Macaca fascicularis: one gene and its partners. The protein of the gene in region 3 purifies or fractionates together with the protein of the main gene of each other region. This does not show direct contact. Links are inferred from orthologs where the notes say so. Each region holds a gene or a part of one and is shown on either strand. Other genes may lie near its edges. The genes, in order: ADRB2, WWP1, ARRDC3 and ITCH.

Region 1 (4,276 bases), about 60 Mb from region 3:
TTTTGCCTGTTATAAGCAGGGGATGCTCCTGGCATCTAATGAATAGAGGCCAGAGGTGCTAAACATCCAATGATGCAGCCCTCACAACAAAGAGTTATCTGGTCCAAAATGCTAACAGTGCCAAGACTCAGAACCTTGGTTTATACTGAACCGAGGAGAGTCAGTGGGAGAAGAAAACAGGGACCAAAGGAAAGAAGGAAAAGGGGTTAAAATTCTATTTCTAGGTCACGTGGTATCCATCAGTTATGTGTTCTCCAGTTTTTCTCCCCATGACCGATGCCTTTTTAATTTTCCCTCGGAATTACGGGGCCATGTTCGAGTAGCTTCCTCACAAGAACATCTTCCTTATCCCTAAAATGCCAAGCCCTGATGCAGTACAAAGAGCTCCACTATAACACATGGCCAAGACATAAATATAAACAGTTATGAAACAAGTAGAACTGGAAGGTGGGTGGTGGGGGCGCGTGGAGAGAAAAAAAACATATGCCCATAACTCCGCTTCTGTGAGTCAGTGTTTCTGAGGTAACAACACAGAACAATAACCATAGGGAGAGTTGAGCTATACTAAGAGCAGGCAGAACTGATTTGGGGCATGAGTGTCAGGAGAGATGCAGCTTTGCAGCAGCAGATTCAAAGGCAAATGAAAGGGTTAAGCAATCTGTGCATGTCATTCTTGTATCATTCTACATTAAGTCATGGGCAGTTATTACAAGTAGTTACCTGTGGTTTCCAGTCGGGGAGGCAATGGCACTCCAGACAAGGGGTTTTGGAGAAACAGGTGCAATGAAGGCATGGTCAAACAATTTATTTACTGTAAACTTTAGACTTTGCTCAGGAAAACAACTGAAGCTGCTCCTCAAATCCCTGCCTAAAATACCCCGTGTGAGCAAATAAGAGGAGCGGGGAAGAGTCCATGTTCACAGCTGAAAGGTCCGAGATATTCAAAATCCTCAAGTCCGAGGGTGTGGGAAGGAAAATCTCCTTCAGATACAAATTACCAGCAGCAATATATTACCCCTAATACTTGAATAGTGAGGTAGATACATGGAAAAGTCATGAAAACATAGCAGACTCAGGTCCTCTAGGACTAAAGCCCTTTAGACATAAACTTACAAATTCCATGCAAAGAGGAACTGAACTGTACAAATAACAAATAATCACCAAATAAGTTTTCTCTCTTTTTACAGCTTAAAAAAATAAAAAAGGCAGAAGGATGCCCCTCCTCCTGCATATCTCTATACAATTTTATTCTAAGTTTATTACCCTCAAGTTAAATAGTCTGTTTAGTGTTCTGTTGGGGGGGGGGGTGGTCTTAAAAAGTAGAAAAACTGCTTTACAGCAGTGAGTCATTTGTACTACAACTCCTCCCTTGTGAATCAATGTTATCGCTAGGCACAGTACCTTGATGGCCCACAAAGTCTTCCGTGCCTGGGAGGTCTTCACACAGCAGTTTATTTTCTTTCTCCTGTTCCAGGTGATATCCACTCTGCTCCCCTGTGTTGCCATTGCTGTTGCTGGAGTAGCCATTCCCACAGGCCTTCAAAGAAGACCTGCGCAGACACAGAAGCTCCTGGAAGGCAATCCTGAAATCTGGGCTCCGGCAGTAGATAAGGGGATTGAAACCAGAATTGACATAGCCCACCCAATTTAGGAGGATGTAAACTTCCTTAGGGATGAGGTTATCCTGGATCACATGCACAATGTTAACGATGAAGAAGGGCAGCCAGCAGAGGGTGAAAGTGCCCATGATGATGCCTAACGTCTTGAGGGCTTTGTGCTCCTTCAAGCAGAACTTGGAAGATCTGCGGAGTCCATGCCCTGTCCGCCCATCCTGCTCCACCTGGCTAAGGTTCTGGGCATGGAAGCGGCCCTCAGATTTGTCAATCTTCTGGAGCTGCCTTTTGGCCTCCTGAAAGACCCTGGAGTAGACGAAGACCATGATCACCAGGGGAACGTAGAAGGACACGATGGAGGAGGCAATGGCATAGGCTTGGTTCGTGAAGAAGTCACAGCAGGTCTCCTTGGCATAGCAGTTGATGGCTTCCTGGTGGGTGGCCCGGTACCAGTGCATCTGAATGGGCAAGAAGGAGGTAAGGCCTGACACGATCCACACCATCAGAATGATCACCCGGGCCTTATTCTTGGTCAGCAGGCTCTGATACTTGAAGGGTGAAGTAATGGCAAAGTAGCGATCCACTGCGATCACGCACAAGGTCTCAATGCTGGCTGTGACGCACAGCACATCAATGGAAGTCCAAAACTCGCACCAGAAGTTGCCAAAAGTCCACATTTTCATGAGAATATGGGCGGCCCCAAAGGGCACCACTGCCAAGCCCATGACTAAGTCAGCACAGGCCAGTGAAGTGATGAAGTAGTTGGTGACCGTCTGCAGACGCTCGAACTTGGCAATGGCTGTGATGACCAGCACATTGCCAAACACGATGGCCAGGACGATGAGAGACATGACGATGCCCATGCCCACCACCCACGCCTCGTCCCGTTCCTGCGTGACATCGTGGTCCGGCGCATGGCTTCCGTTGGGTGCCAGCAAGAAGGCGCTGCCGTTCCCGGGTTGCCCCATGGCGCGCAGTCTGGCAGGTGAGCGCACTGTCTGCAGGCGCCTCAGCGGGCGGACCCCCGGCGGGGCTCTGCGGGCCGCGAGCGGACTCCTGGAAGCCTCATTCAGCGGCCGTGGGGTGGGTGTGGTGGGGACACGTCTTGTACACTTAGCTTGTCGGGTGCCAGGGGCTCGCGGTGCCCGCCAGTTCCAGCCCGTGCTCTGGAGAAGCCGCCTCGGAGTGCGCTCTGCCCGTTATGTGCACAGGACTTTAGGGGAACTGCCCTCGCCGTGACGTAAGGGAACTTTCGGCCAATGGCACGCCGGCAGGCCCGAAGGGGCGAGGCACCCATCCCCTTTCCTCCCCTCCTCTCGCCCTCCCTCTGCTCGGGCTGGCCCGGGAGGGGCCCAGCTGCTCCCCGGCGGGCGGGCCACCACTCCTTCCCGGCTACCCTGGCTGGCCCCAGAGGGCTAAAGCTGGAGCTGGCGTGCTTACCAGCCAACCCAGCAGCTTTTGGCTCTTCTGTGGCCGCTACCTGCCTGCCCTGGGCGCCTGCGCGGCCTGAGGTCTCAGGGCAGAGGGCAGCACACACCGGCACTGCCCCACATTCGGAGAGAAACGAGAGTGCCCACCAAGGCACGCACATACAGGCACAAATACACCCCGGCAGACATGCTCAGACTTATACGGAACCACAGCTATAGACACTGAGACACACCCTCCCAGCTCACCGACATGCACACTCGCGCGCGCGCTCACACAGAAGCTGTCAGGCACAAAGTCACCCCTGTCCAACACAGAAACGCGGCCACAAACACAGAAGCACCCAGAAGCACAAAGGCATGGTGACACACACAGAAAGTAAACACACACGCTGGCTTGGAGGCATCCAGAGCGACACAGACACGGATGTCTCCATCTGGGTACTCACAAACTTCCCTCACCCAAGCACTGCTAATGCCCCCCTCCCAGCATACACCCGGTAACCCAGTATATTCACTTTCAAACATTTGGCAAGAGCACACAGGAGGTGACTTCAACAGCTGCCGATTTCCTCAGCACACTCGTTGTCAAGTACTTTGGGTGCCCTCCTTGGGAATTTGCAGGCATGAAGACAGTTTTACCCTTTGGATTTCACCTGGAGCAGGAGTATGCATGTATGTATTTCGGGACGGAGAGAGAAAGTTGTGTACTTTTGTTTTAATTTTTTTGTTGTTGTTTTGTTTTTAACTCTTGAGAGTGTGGCATCACTCCCTCATTATCTGTTGAACTGGAGATGCACTGAGAATTCAAACAATTTCTTCAGTAATCCCAATGCAACTAAAAAATTCCTTTCATCTGCTGGATAGTTTGTTAATCTTTCGGGTTGCACCATATGAAATTGCCACCATCTGGCGTCTGTGACTTACCAAAATGGCAAATTCATATGGTTCAGAGTCTTAAGAGTGTCTTAACATTAAGAACATTTGGAGCTATAGAAAGCAAAAGATCTTGGCCAATATGGTGTAACTCTGTCTCTACTAAAAATACAAAAATTAGCCAGGCGGGCACTTGTAGTCTTAGCTACTCGGGAGGCTGGGACAGGAGAATCACTTGAACCTGGGAGGTGGAGGTTGCAGTGAGGCGAGACCGTGCCACTGCACTTCAGCCTGGGTGACAGAGCAAGACTCCATCTCAAAAAAATAAATAAATAAATAAATAACAAATATAAATATATA
Region 2 (4,027 bases), on a different chromosome or scaffold from region 3:
TGGTGGCAAGTGCCTGTAGTTCCAGCTACACAGGAGACTGAGGCAGGAGAATCTCTTGAGCCTGGGAGGCGGAGGTTGCAATGCACCCAGAAGGCACCACTGCACTCCAACCATAGGGACAGGAGTGAAAGAAATCCTGCCTCGAAAATAGAAAAAAGCTCCAAGTAATTCCGACATGAGTGTTGTGGATGACCTTCATGTGGCCCATGGACTCCGCTAAAATTATATCCACGAAGCATAGGCACATATGGAAAATTTCCAGGCCAGCATAAGTTTTACTAAGAATTAGTAATCCCCAAAAAGTTGTAAAGTAGCACACACATGCTAAGGGTAAAGCTTCATGATCTTGCTCAAAATGGTACCACTGTTCTCCCAACCAACCTGAATCAGAATCAGTTATTTTTACTTTCTTCACTTGCCCTCTCATCCATTTTGGCTATTCGACTTCCTTTCTTCCTTTCCATTCGCCTGCACCACAGCTCAGATCCTCACTACCCATGACTACAAAAACTGGGAGGTCTTTCTACCTCCAGGTTCTCCCTACCTCAATTCACACTACAGGCCGCTATCCCACTAATCCTTCTGAAACAAAGTGTTCAAATTGTTTCACTCCCAACTCAAAATCATCTGTGGAAGCCCCATCACCTAGTAAATCCAAGGTCATAAGCCTGGCATTAAAAACAACCCATAAACTAGTTCAAATTTTCCCTTCAAGTTTTACCATCCTTTATCCTGGTACAAATAAGCTTATGTTCCATCCAAACATAAGTACGTGCCTCTCCCTAAATAGGGACTCTGTGCTCTCTTAGAGAGATACCTCTTTGCTTGGATTACCTTTCCTGCCTATCCAAAGTCATAATCGTCCTTCCAAACCATGATTTCAGAAGCCATAAGCTCTACAAACTAACCCTCTTATCTCTACCTTGCCAAGTAAGATCTGAGCTCTACTCTTTGAAGTTTACTTCTGAGAGGATTTTGGTACCATTTATGAAACTTATATATTAAAAGACAAATAGGGCATTTGTGTATAGCACTATCTACCTAATTAGTGTGAAGGCAGAAACTGCTAATCGGTTCATCTTTGTATTCCCCAAAATACCTCCCACAATTATGCAGTAAATGCTTAACAACTGTACAAGGAAGTAAAGGAAATTTCAGCCACCGTGGGGTAAACAGCAAAGATTACCATCTCTTTGAAGGCAGAGACTTTATCTGTGACATCCTGTATTATGCCGGTAGCTCATAATTATTGCTTTTCAAAACCCTGATGTAGATCTTACCAGCAGTTTCGCATTTTAAGGTAAGAACTATCTGAAAATGTTAATAAGCTATGTCCCAAAGAACTATTCCAAATACTTTACAATTCCCAATCTGAGTAGCTCCCAACACTTGGCCACTACACTTTCCATTTTTTAACATACTAACCATTTATAAAAAATGATCATTTCTAGTCGCAGCTAATTTACTACTTGATGGCTAAAAACAAGTCACACAATAAAAGAATGTCTTTCTTTTTTAAAAGGTGCATTTTGCTTACGTAATACACACAGATTTGGTGAGGCAGGTAAAGTGGATTTACACATGAACTCTTGTTTTAAAAAAAAAAAAAATGCAGGTAACTGTAAACCAAGTATTTCAGGTAAAAACACCAAATGGGGAAAACAAATATAACTTTGGACATGATTTTTTCCCCCATTACTATTACTAGTAACATTTTAAAGCAGAAACACAAAATCTTGTTCTACATTAACCTACACACACACAAAATTTTGTTAAACTTATCAAATAGAAAAAGAAAGCAAAATCAAGCCCCTGAAAAATATTTTTATTCTGTAAGAGTAAAAATGTCAAAATTATAACAGACACTACTCTTCTTTGGTAATGAAGGTTTCATATATTTACCAGAGCAAAGAAAACTCCAAATCGACAGAGCAAAGAAAGGACTGTGAACAAGACTGATCATTTAAAGGTCGTAAAGGTAAGGAGCAAACTACAAAATTAAATGTTTTTAAAAAAGGACACGAAGATGAAAGGAGAGTCTGTAAGTCACAGACAAGATAAGGACTGGTAAAATCTGCAAGGTCACTGGAACCTACCAGGTCACAAAAGGTGGAGGTGGGGGTTGCGATGGGGGGGCGGGGGATGGGGAGCTGCAGAGTCGGTGAAGAACGGGGAGTGATAAAAACATGTCAGAAAAAGACGTTCCAAGGCTGGAGTCCTTGGTTTGCAACGCTCAAATTGGGGTTAAAGTCAGGGCACGGGCAATGAGTCCATATATTTGTGTTTTGAGGGAGGTGTTAGGGAAAGGTGGAGGAAGGCGAAGAGAAGGCTAAGAAAGCCTAAGAACTGCAGCTGCAGAGTCACGGAAACACTTCGCTCCGCTCCAGGATCACTGGCACAGGCCTGTGCCAGGACGAACTCCGGGCAAGACCCGTGACCCCACCCTAGAAAACTCCCGACTCCCTGGCTGGAGAAGGCAGCCAAGGTAGGGCGGACCGTCCCCCGACGGCCCCTAGGAGGGTCCAGCCCGGAGGCGGACGGCGCCGGGCGCCCAGCACCGCGACCAAGGCTCCGGGCCCGTGCCCCCTCCCGCCCTGGGCGCCCGCACCCCCAGCCCCGCGCCGCGCCGTCCTTACCCGGCGCGAAGCTGTCGGCTCCCGGCAGCCGGGCGGCCACGGCAGCGGCACCTCCTCCTGCGGCGGGCGCCCTCACCCTTCCGCGCCCAAGATCGCCATCTCGCAGCAGGCGCGGCGGCGGCAGCCACCCAGGCGTCGGCCCCGGCAGCCCAGGCCGCCAGCAGCCACTCGGAACCCGCACGCGGAGCTTGCCGACACCCGACCCTCCCCCCACCCCCACCCCGGCCACGCGCCACCCCCAGCCGACCCCACACCTCCCTTCCTCGGGAGCGCGCCGCGTGGCCGCGTCGCCGGCGCCGCGCCCCGAGCGCGCGCCTCCCCGCCGGCCCCGGCACAGCGCGCTACGCCGCGGCCGCCCAAAGCCTCCAACTCCGGACCCGGAATCCGCCTCCCCCGAGCATGCGCAGCGAGGGCGCTCGGATGCTGCCTTAGGAAAACTCCGCTCCTCCTGGTCTTCCGAGCGGTCGAGCGGAGGGGGAGGGACAGCCAATAGCAGGGAGGGGCGGGGCCTGAACCTGTGGAAGGGGCGGGGCCGTCGCTGAGATTTGGGCAGGGGCTGCTCTAAACGCGCTCTGGGCACTGCTAATTTGACTTTCCGGTCGGCGGTCGAGCCCGGAACAGGACTTCTTAAAGTCCGGGGGCAAAAGTAGGCTGTTCATAAATACTCCGTGACCTGAGTGTTTGACCTCGAACCCATTGCAAGAGTAAATAATTGCATTTAGCTGTTGGTCATACCCGAAGACTTTCAGTCCGTTTTTTATTAATCAAAACGTTCATCTGTGGAAGTCCCACCACCTAGTCCTCACTCACATCAGCCCAGTGATAAAGCAGATACTTACTGACCAAGTACACGTGTTGGCACAACTAACGCACACAACAATCTGATAAAGTAGCGTCTACTGTCTGCATTTTACAGAAAAGTCAACTGGTTTAGAAAAGTGCTGCTGGTTATATGTATTGCTTTTAGAAGAAAGGTCAATATGCAAATAGAAGTCCGTGAGACCACATTACTTACCAGGTGATCCGGTTCCTACTTCAGAGAAGCAGAAGCCTTCAGGCATGGATTTCTACAGCTTTCCCAACCACCTGACCAACCCCGATAGATTATATCTACGTCCACACCCAGACTTACTAGTTTTCCTTCTGTCTAGGGCCAGATGCCCCTGCCCCTCTCCACTGCCTGCTCCCCATTTTGAGCGGTCCTTGGCACATCTTTAACTTCACTGTCTCCACTGCCTACAACTCTCAGCATAATCACGTTTTAAGACTAGGTCCTAAATTTTCCCTTGATTTTAAAACCTGTGGTTCTCTCTCCCCTTCCATTTTAACTGAGCTTTTGAACTGTGTACCAAAAACAGCGCCATCGCTTCATCAGTGTGTACAGAATTCAA
Region 3 (3,564 bases):
AGTAGGTACTTACTTCTGAATAAAGAGGCGGAGGCAAGAACCGAAACTCCTGGATATATGCAAACAGTGGTCCTTGAAGCGCTCTCTCAAAGTCATCACAAGCATTCACTGGTGCAAGATTGTTCCGCCTTTGTTCCTCTGTTACCACTTCTGCATAGCTGGGTGGTGCTGAAGGAAAAAGATACACGCAATTCGAACAGCATGTTCTTATGCATGTCAAAATACACAAAATAGTAGGTATTAAAAAGCAATGTCAAGGTAAAATAATAATTATTTGTTTGGTGATTAAAACTATGAAGACATATAATCAAAACTGAGTATTAGGGGCACATCTACTTTCTTTAGGGGAAGATTACATTCATCTAGGGTCATAAAATATCAGAAGCAAAATAATTTTCTTGATAATAATAGTAAGAAATTAAGCTTAGATATGTATTATCAAATTACCTTCAGGTCTTTCAGGAAGTGATAAACTGAGCCAGTTCATATTCATGCTACACTGACTGCTTACACTTGAGGTTCTGCTACCAAATGGATGTAGAGGAATGGTACCGATGACAAGTGGCAAATTAAGAAATAAATCCATAGCTCCAGGAATATCCACATATACCTAAACATTGCAAAGAAATATTACGTTTAGAATGCCAAGTATGATTTCCTTTTCAAAAACTAATAACCAATTTTAATGTTATTTGAAACCCCCATTTACTTCATTTTTTATCTTACATACATGAAAAGTTTCTCTTTTATGTATAATTCTATATAGTACATTTACATATAAGGTATAATTATAAGTCAAACTATATAAAGAGTTATGTATTTCATATGTCACTATATATGGAATTAAAAAACCTGGATGTAAGACAAAATTATGTCTCCATAACTTTAAGATTAAAAACAAAACAAAACAAAACACCAAAGACTTCTTGGGCCAGGCACTATGGCTCAGCCTCTAATTCCAACACTTTGGGAGGCCATGGTGGGTGGATCACTTGAGCCCAGGAGTTCAAGACCAACCTGGGTGACATGGTGAAACTCCATCACGACAAAAAATACAAAAATTATCCAGGCCTGGCTACAGGCACACTTGTATTCCCAGCTACTTGGGAGGCTCAGGTGGGAGGACCACTGGAGCCCAGAAAGCAGAGGCTGCAGCAGAGCTGAGACTGTGCCGTGGCACTCCAGCCTGGGTGACAGGTGTTTCAAAAAAGAAAAAAGAAAGGAAAAAACCTCTTAAATGTGTACATACCATTAGTGAATATTCCACACGGATTATACTACAGTCGAGGATAGAGGGAGAAACTGGTGGAATTTTCAGCAACTTGCCATTCCACGTCTCTGTCTTTCCAGATGATAAGGATTCCCCACGCAAGTTAGCCACAAGCTGTTTTACTTCCTTCATTTTCCCTTTGGCATAGAAGGCCTGTGTTTGGTAAATGGCTGCCTTTGGCACCACCATTCGGGAAGAGCAGTTCTCAATCTCAGCAAATATCTGAATTGATTCACCTAGAGAGGGAAAAATATATACATATCTACTGTTAGAAAAAAATAACAAAAGAAATCAAGAATCTTTTTTTTTTTTTTTTGAGAGAGTCTCGCTCTGTCGCCCGGTTAGAAAAAAATAACAAAAGAAATCAAGAATCTTTTTTTTTTTTGAGAGAGTCTCGCTCTGTCGCCCAGGCTGGAGTGCAGTGGCCAGATCTCAGCTCACTGCAAGCTCCGCCTCCCGGGTTTACGCCATTCTCCTGCCTCAGCCTCCCGAGTAGCTGGGACTACAGGCGCCCGCCACCTCGCCCGGCTAGTGTTTTTTTTTTTTTTTTTTTTTTTTTTTGGTATTTTTCAGTAGAGACGGGGTTTCACCAGGTTAGCCAGGATGGTCTCGATCTCCTGACCTCGTGATCCGCCCGTTTCGGCCTCCCAAAGTGCTGGGATTACAGGCTTGAGCCACTGCGCCTGGCCAAGAAATCAAGATTCTTAAAGCTAAAGTAAGAAAGAGCAACTAACATGCACGAAAAGGTGTCCTAGGAACTGCAAATAACTTAAGAGTCATAGAAATGAACTCATCAGTAGCTATTTGAAAAAGGAAACTACATTCTATTTTGTGAAAAAACAAATGGAAAAGCACAATTTGTAATTTCACAAAAGAATACGATATTATGTTGATATTTAATAGTTATATTATAAATTTATACACAAAAGCTAAGTGAAGAAAGTTTTTTGTGGGAATCTACCTCATACATACCTGGGGTATAGCCCTTCCTTTCAATTTTGGCACTTAAGGATATTGGGCCTGAGGTACAGAACCAGCAACAGAGTGTCTTTTCTTTTGTGCCTGCTTGGGGTGACTGTAAGAAAACAATTTAGAGAAAAAGGTCAGTGTATGGATTGGTACAATCAATACCAGAATATTTTAAAATATAATCCTAAATTTGTGGAAAAATAAAAATTAAAACTGGTTTTGCTTTTTTTTTTGGATCCAGATATACTTCTTATTTTTTAACTAATTGATGGTTTTGAATTATACCATTACTTTTATTTTTATATAAATTTCCATTCAATTAGAAAAAAAAGGTAAAGGGTGTACAGCGTTTCCCATAAACAGTTTTTTAGTTCACACTATTTACAAATACAGTAATGAAAAACCAACCAAATAAAAAAAACCCTTTCCACATTCCATTTAAACTGCCTTAAAAAGGCAGCACAGAAAGCAATCTGACTATAATTCCAAATGTTAACATCTTCCTCTGAGAATATAAAAAAAAATGTAAAAAAAGGAAAATGCCCATTTCTTATTTGCTTTAAAGATGTTATCATTTGTTTAAACCAAATACAGTTTTAAGTCAAATTTGATTTATTCTCAGACAAATGCAATTAAAAATAGATTCTTTTAAAAAAGGAGTTTTTTTAATGAAACGAATGATTCCCCATTATTTGACAACTATCCCTCTATTGGAATAACAAAGTATAGTACAAATTTTAGATTATGATGTTGTCAAGTTAAGTGATATTGTATTACAATAAAAGATACTACTGTCCTTCTTCCACTCAAATCATCCAAGGACCAGATCTGTTTGTTGTTATGGCTTTTGTTACTCATATTGTGAGTAAGAGATACTTCATATCATATACTGGTCTTAGTTTCATATTTACTTAAAGGTACTACAATGTCAAAAATGTGAGCATATTTTTCATTAATTTCAGTGTTCTTGACTGTATTTAAGAAAATGTATATTTATGGAATTTTAAAAGAAAACCAGTATTTTTAAATTATGACAACTGCATAGTTTAGGTGATTGATTATTCTTTAATATTTATATGCCAAAAACAAAGAATGAATAATTCAGTCAATTCTTACCAGTAATGAAGGAGTGTTGATATCTATATGCTCAAAGACTGTAAATTCCTTCTTTAATTTTACTGGTAGTAGCCAAGGCCTGTGCAATTCGGCTTTCACCCAATAGCGCACACTGCCATGTCGGCCTTCGAATGAGGTAGCAAGTGGTCTGTGCAGAATATAAAGGTCAATATATTAATTTTATACCTCTTTCTAACAATTACACAGTA
Region 4 (3,564 bases), on a different chromosome or scaffold from region 3:
TAAAATTATTTCAAAATATATGATATAATCATAGATAAATAACAAATATGAGTAGAAATATGTAATTTTGTATAAATTAAAGGCAATCGAAGAGAAGAGCAATCATTTATTCCTAATAAGAAAATCAACTAGCAGTATTAAAGTGTGTCACGAGATACACTTATCAGAAGAGGCCATGAACTAACAGGAAAAGAGATCCAGATTACAGGCTTATGCCACATGTATTACCCCAGATCACCCATGTTACATAGTTTTAGTAACCATAATCTTATGTTAATATTGGTTCATATTTTCACAATATTTGACTTAGAGTCTCAGCATTTTTCTAATATGTGAGTGGCTGGAATTATGTGCTTTACTGCCTCTGTGAAATTTTCATATTGATTTAACGTGTAGGGAGTAGTGGCACTTGACGGGGATTATTATGGGACTTAGTAATAGATGGAATATTAGATTGATTTCAGCCACTCACATGGGTGAATGGTGAATTTTAAATTTGCCTATGAATAGTATTTCATTGATTCTAAGACCAGTATTTTCATGTTATAATATCTCTGAAATTAAGATATATCGCAGGTAAAATTGGGAAAATGTTGTCTTAGATTCTTTAAAATGTAATAATGTATATATTACCATCTACCAGAGATGGTGTATACTACCAACTCTGTGAAATAGATGTGAGTTTGAACAGAAGCAATAAAAATCAACATGAGATTAGAAAACTATCACTAGCTGAGGGGTATAGATCCCTGAGAACTTTATAACACTGTTCTTTGATTTGTTGACATGGTAACCTGCAAGATTTTTCATAGTAAATTTTCTTTTGATTTCAGAGAATGGTTCTTTCTTTTGTCACATGAAGTGTTGAACCCAATGTATTGCCTGTTTGAATATGCAGGGAAGGATAACTACTGCTTGCAGATAAACCCCGCTTCTTACATCAATCCAGATCACCTGAAATATTTTCGTTTTATTGGCAGATTTATTGCCATGGTAAGTGCAGGTCAAGAATTATGTTTACTTTGCTTACTCAGCAATACTAAATTTTCTCTTAGGTGCCATAACAGATCATACGAGAGAAAGGGAAGTGATTTTGTTTTGTTTTTTATTTTTGAGACAGAGTCTTGCTGTATCACCCAGGCTGGAGTGCAGTGACACAATCTTGGCTCACTGCAACCTCTGCCTCCTGGGCTCAATCAGTCCTCCTGCCTCAGCCTCCCAAGTAGCTGGGATTACAGGTGTGCACCACCATACCCAGCTAATTTTTGTGTTTTTAGTAGAGATGGGGTTTTGCCATGTTGACCAGGCTGGTCTTGAATTCCTGACCTCAGGTAATCCACCCACCTCAGCCTCCCAAAGTGCTGGGATTACAGGTGTAAGCCACCGTGCCCAGCCAGGGAAGTGTTTTTTTGAGACAAAGTTTCACTTTTGTTGCCCGGGCTGGAGTGCAGTGGCGTGATCTCGGCTCACCACAACCTCCACCTCTCAGGTTCAAGCAATTCTCCTGCCTCAGCATCCTGAGTAGCTGGGATTACAAGGATGTGCCACCACGCCTGGCTAATTTTTGTGTTTTTAGTAGAGATGGGGTTTCTCCATGTTGGTCATTATGGTCTTGAACTTCTGACCTCAGGTGATCCACCCACCTCGGCCTCCCAAACTGCTGGGATTACAGGTGTGAGCCACCATGCCCGACCCAGGGAAGTGTTTTTAAATGAAGAATTCATTTAACATATTCAGATAAAATGATTATTGTACAATTATTTTAAGCAGTCTTGTTTCCTTTTTTCATAGGCTCTGTTCCATGGGAAAATCATAGACACAAGTTTTTCTCTACCATTCTATAAGCGTATCTTGAGCAAACCAGTTGGACTCAAGGATTTAGAATCTATTGATCCAGAATTTTACAATTCTCTCATCTGGGTTAAGTAAGTTTCTTTTTCCATGTAATTTATTAAAATATAGTTTATATGCATTCCGTGTAGTATTGATAACCTATGCAAACTGTAAGCACATAATTGGTTTATTGTATTTAAATGATCTATATATCAAACCTGCCTTTTTATTCAATATGATAAATTTTACAAAAATATACCGAAGATCTTTGGCAATAATATGATGACCTTAGAATAGAATCTTATTTCTTCTTATTTTGATGTTATAACTTAATTATTTAAGAATATGGGCCTTAGGTAAAGACTTATAAATTATGATTGAATTGGTGGATATAACAGAGAGTGCTAATTTCATTTGTGCAGAGAAAACAATATTGAGGAATGTGGTTTGGAAATGTACTTCTCCGTTGACAAAGAAATTCTAGGTGAAATTAAGAGTCATGATCTGAAACCTAATGGTGGCAATATTCTTGTAACAGAAGAAAATAAAGAGGAATACATCAGGTGAGAGTGCTCCTTTTCACATTTCACTTTTTGTTTGACTACAGCGTATTGATAATTGCTTACTAATGCTAATGGAGAGTTATCTCCAAAAATAATATTTGTCTTTGTACTAATCAATATCCTATGTAGGCAATCATTTTTCATTTCTAAAAAGTTTTTTTTTCAAAAAGTGTTTTTGAAAGAGTTTAAGGATAAAAGTCATGCAGGATTACTCTTTTAAATATCAATTCTGTAACTATGCTGTATAACATGTCATTAAAAAGAATCTCAAATATATATGCAGATATTTTTACAGGGAATATTGTAAGGTGTATTAATCCACTTTCCCGCTGCTGATAAAGACATACCCAAGACTAGCCAATTTACAAAAGAAAGAGGTTTAATGGACTTACAGTTTCACGAGGCTGGGGAGGCCTCACACTCACGGTGGAAGGCAAGGAGGGGCAAGTCACATCTTACATGGATGGCAGCAGGCAAAGAGAGAGCTTGTACAGGGAAACTCTGTTTTTAAAACCTCATCATTGGCCGGGCGCGGTGGCTCAAGCCTGTAATCCCAGCACTTTGGGAGGCCGAGATGGGCGGATCACGAGGTCAGGAGATCGAGACCAGCCTGGCTAATACGGTGAAACCCCGTCTCTACTAAAAAAAATACCACAAAAAACTAGCCGGACGAGGTGGCGGGCGCCTGTAGTCCCAGCTACTCCGGAGGCTGAGGCAGGAGAATGGCGTAGACCCGGGAGGTGGAGCTTGCAGTGAGCTGAGATCCGGCCACTGCACTCCAGCCTGGGCGACAGAGCAAGACTCCGTCTCAAAAAAAAAAAAAAAAAAAAAAAAAACCTCATCATTGGCTGGGCACGGTGGCTCACGCCTGTAATCCCAGCACTTTGGAAGACCAAGGCAGGCAGATCACGAAGTCAGGAGATTGACACCATCCTGGCCAATATGGTGAAACCCCGTCTCTACGAAAAATACAAAAATTAGCTGGGTGTGGTGGCATGTGCCAGTAATCCCAGCTACTAGGGAGGCAGAGGCAGGAGAATGGCTTGAACCCAGGAGGCGGAGTTTGCAGTGAGCCAAGATAGCACCACTGCACTCCAGCCTGGTGACAGAGCGAGACTCCGTCTAAAAAAAAAAAAAGACCATATCATATCTTGTGAGACATATTCAC

The links.
Region 1: the proteins of ARRDC3 (region 3) and ADRB2 purify together in Homo sapiens (affinity purification with western blotting; 6 studies listed by BioGRID and IntAct, with this or other methods). This does not show direct contact. The link is inferred for Macaca fascicularis from reciprocal best matches to the Homo sapiens genes ARRDC3 and ADRB2.
Region 2: the proteins of ARRDC3 (region 3) and WWP1 purify together in Homo sapiens (affinity purification with mass spectrometry; 4 studies listed by BioGRID and IntAct, counting the BioPlex papers as one, with this or other methods). This does not show direct contact. The link is inferred for Macaca fascicularis from reciprocal best matches to the Homo sapiens genes ARRDC3 and WWP1.
Region 4: the proteins of ARRDC3 (region 3) and ITCH purify together in Homo sapiens (co-immunoprecipitation; 5 studies listed by BioGRID and IntAct, counting the BioPlex papers as one, with this or other methods). This does not show direct contact. The link is inferred for Macaca fascicularis from reciprocal best matches to the Homo sapiens genes ARRDC3 and ITCH.

Annotation. Positions count from the first base shown.
Region 1 is NC_088380.1:155,701,974-155,706,249, reverse strand, and holds the start of ADRB2 (beta-2 adrenergic receptor), read right to left. Parts: upstream 2,803-4,276; 5' UTR 2,582-2,802; coding exon 1,402-2,581; coding exon of another isoform or gene 1,334-1,401; exon of another isoform or gene 791-1,333; intron 1-790. UniProt on the Homo sapiens protein: Beta-adrenergic receptors mediate the catecholamine-induced activation of adenylate cyclase through the action of G proteins. The beta-2-adrenergic receptor binds epinephrine with an approximately 30-fold greater affinity than it does norepinephrine.
Region 2 is NC_088382.1:96,097,565-96,101,591, reverse strand, and holds the start of WWP1 (NEDD4-like E3 ubiquitin-protein ligase WWP1), read right to left. Parts: upstream 2,830-4,027; 5' UTR 2,637-2,829; intron 1-2,636. UniProt on the Homo sapiens protein: E3 ubiquitin-protein ligase which accepts ubiquitin from an E2 ubiquitin-conjugating enzyme in the form of a thioester and then directly transfers the ubiquitin to targeted substrates.
Region 3 is NC_088380.1:95,368,904-95,372,467, forward strand, and holds part of ARRDC3 (arrestin domain-containing protein 3), read right to left. Parts: intron 3,504-3,564; coding exon 3,356-3,503; intron 2,346-3,355; coding exon 2,243-2,345; intron 1,507-2,242; coding exon 1,250-1,506; intron 611-1,249; coding exon 448-610; intron 207-447; exon of another isoform or gene 169-206; coding exon 14-168; intron 1-13. UniProt on the Homo sapiens protein: Adapter protein that plays a role in regulating cell-surface expression of adrenergic receptors and probably also other G protein-coupled receptors.
Region 4 is NC_088384.1:90,523,336-90,526,899, forward strand, and holds part of ITCH (E3 ubiquitin-protein ligase Itchy homolog), read left to right. Parts: intron 1-833; coding exon 834-993; intron 994-1,791; coding exon 1,792-1,925; intron 1,926-2,255; coding exon 2,256-2,396; intron 2,397-3,564. UniProt on the Homo sapiens protein: Acts as an Acts as an E3 ubiquitin-protein ligase which accepts ubiquitin from an E2 ubiquitin-conjugating enzyme in the form of a thioester and then directly transfers the ubiquitin to targeted substrates.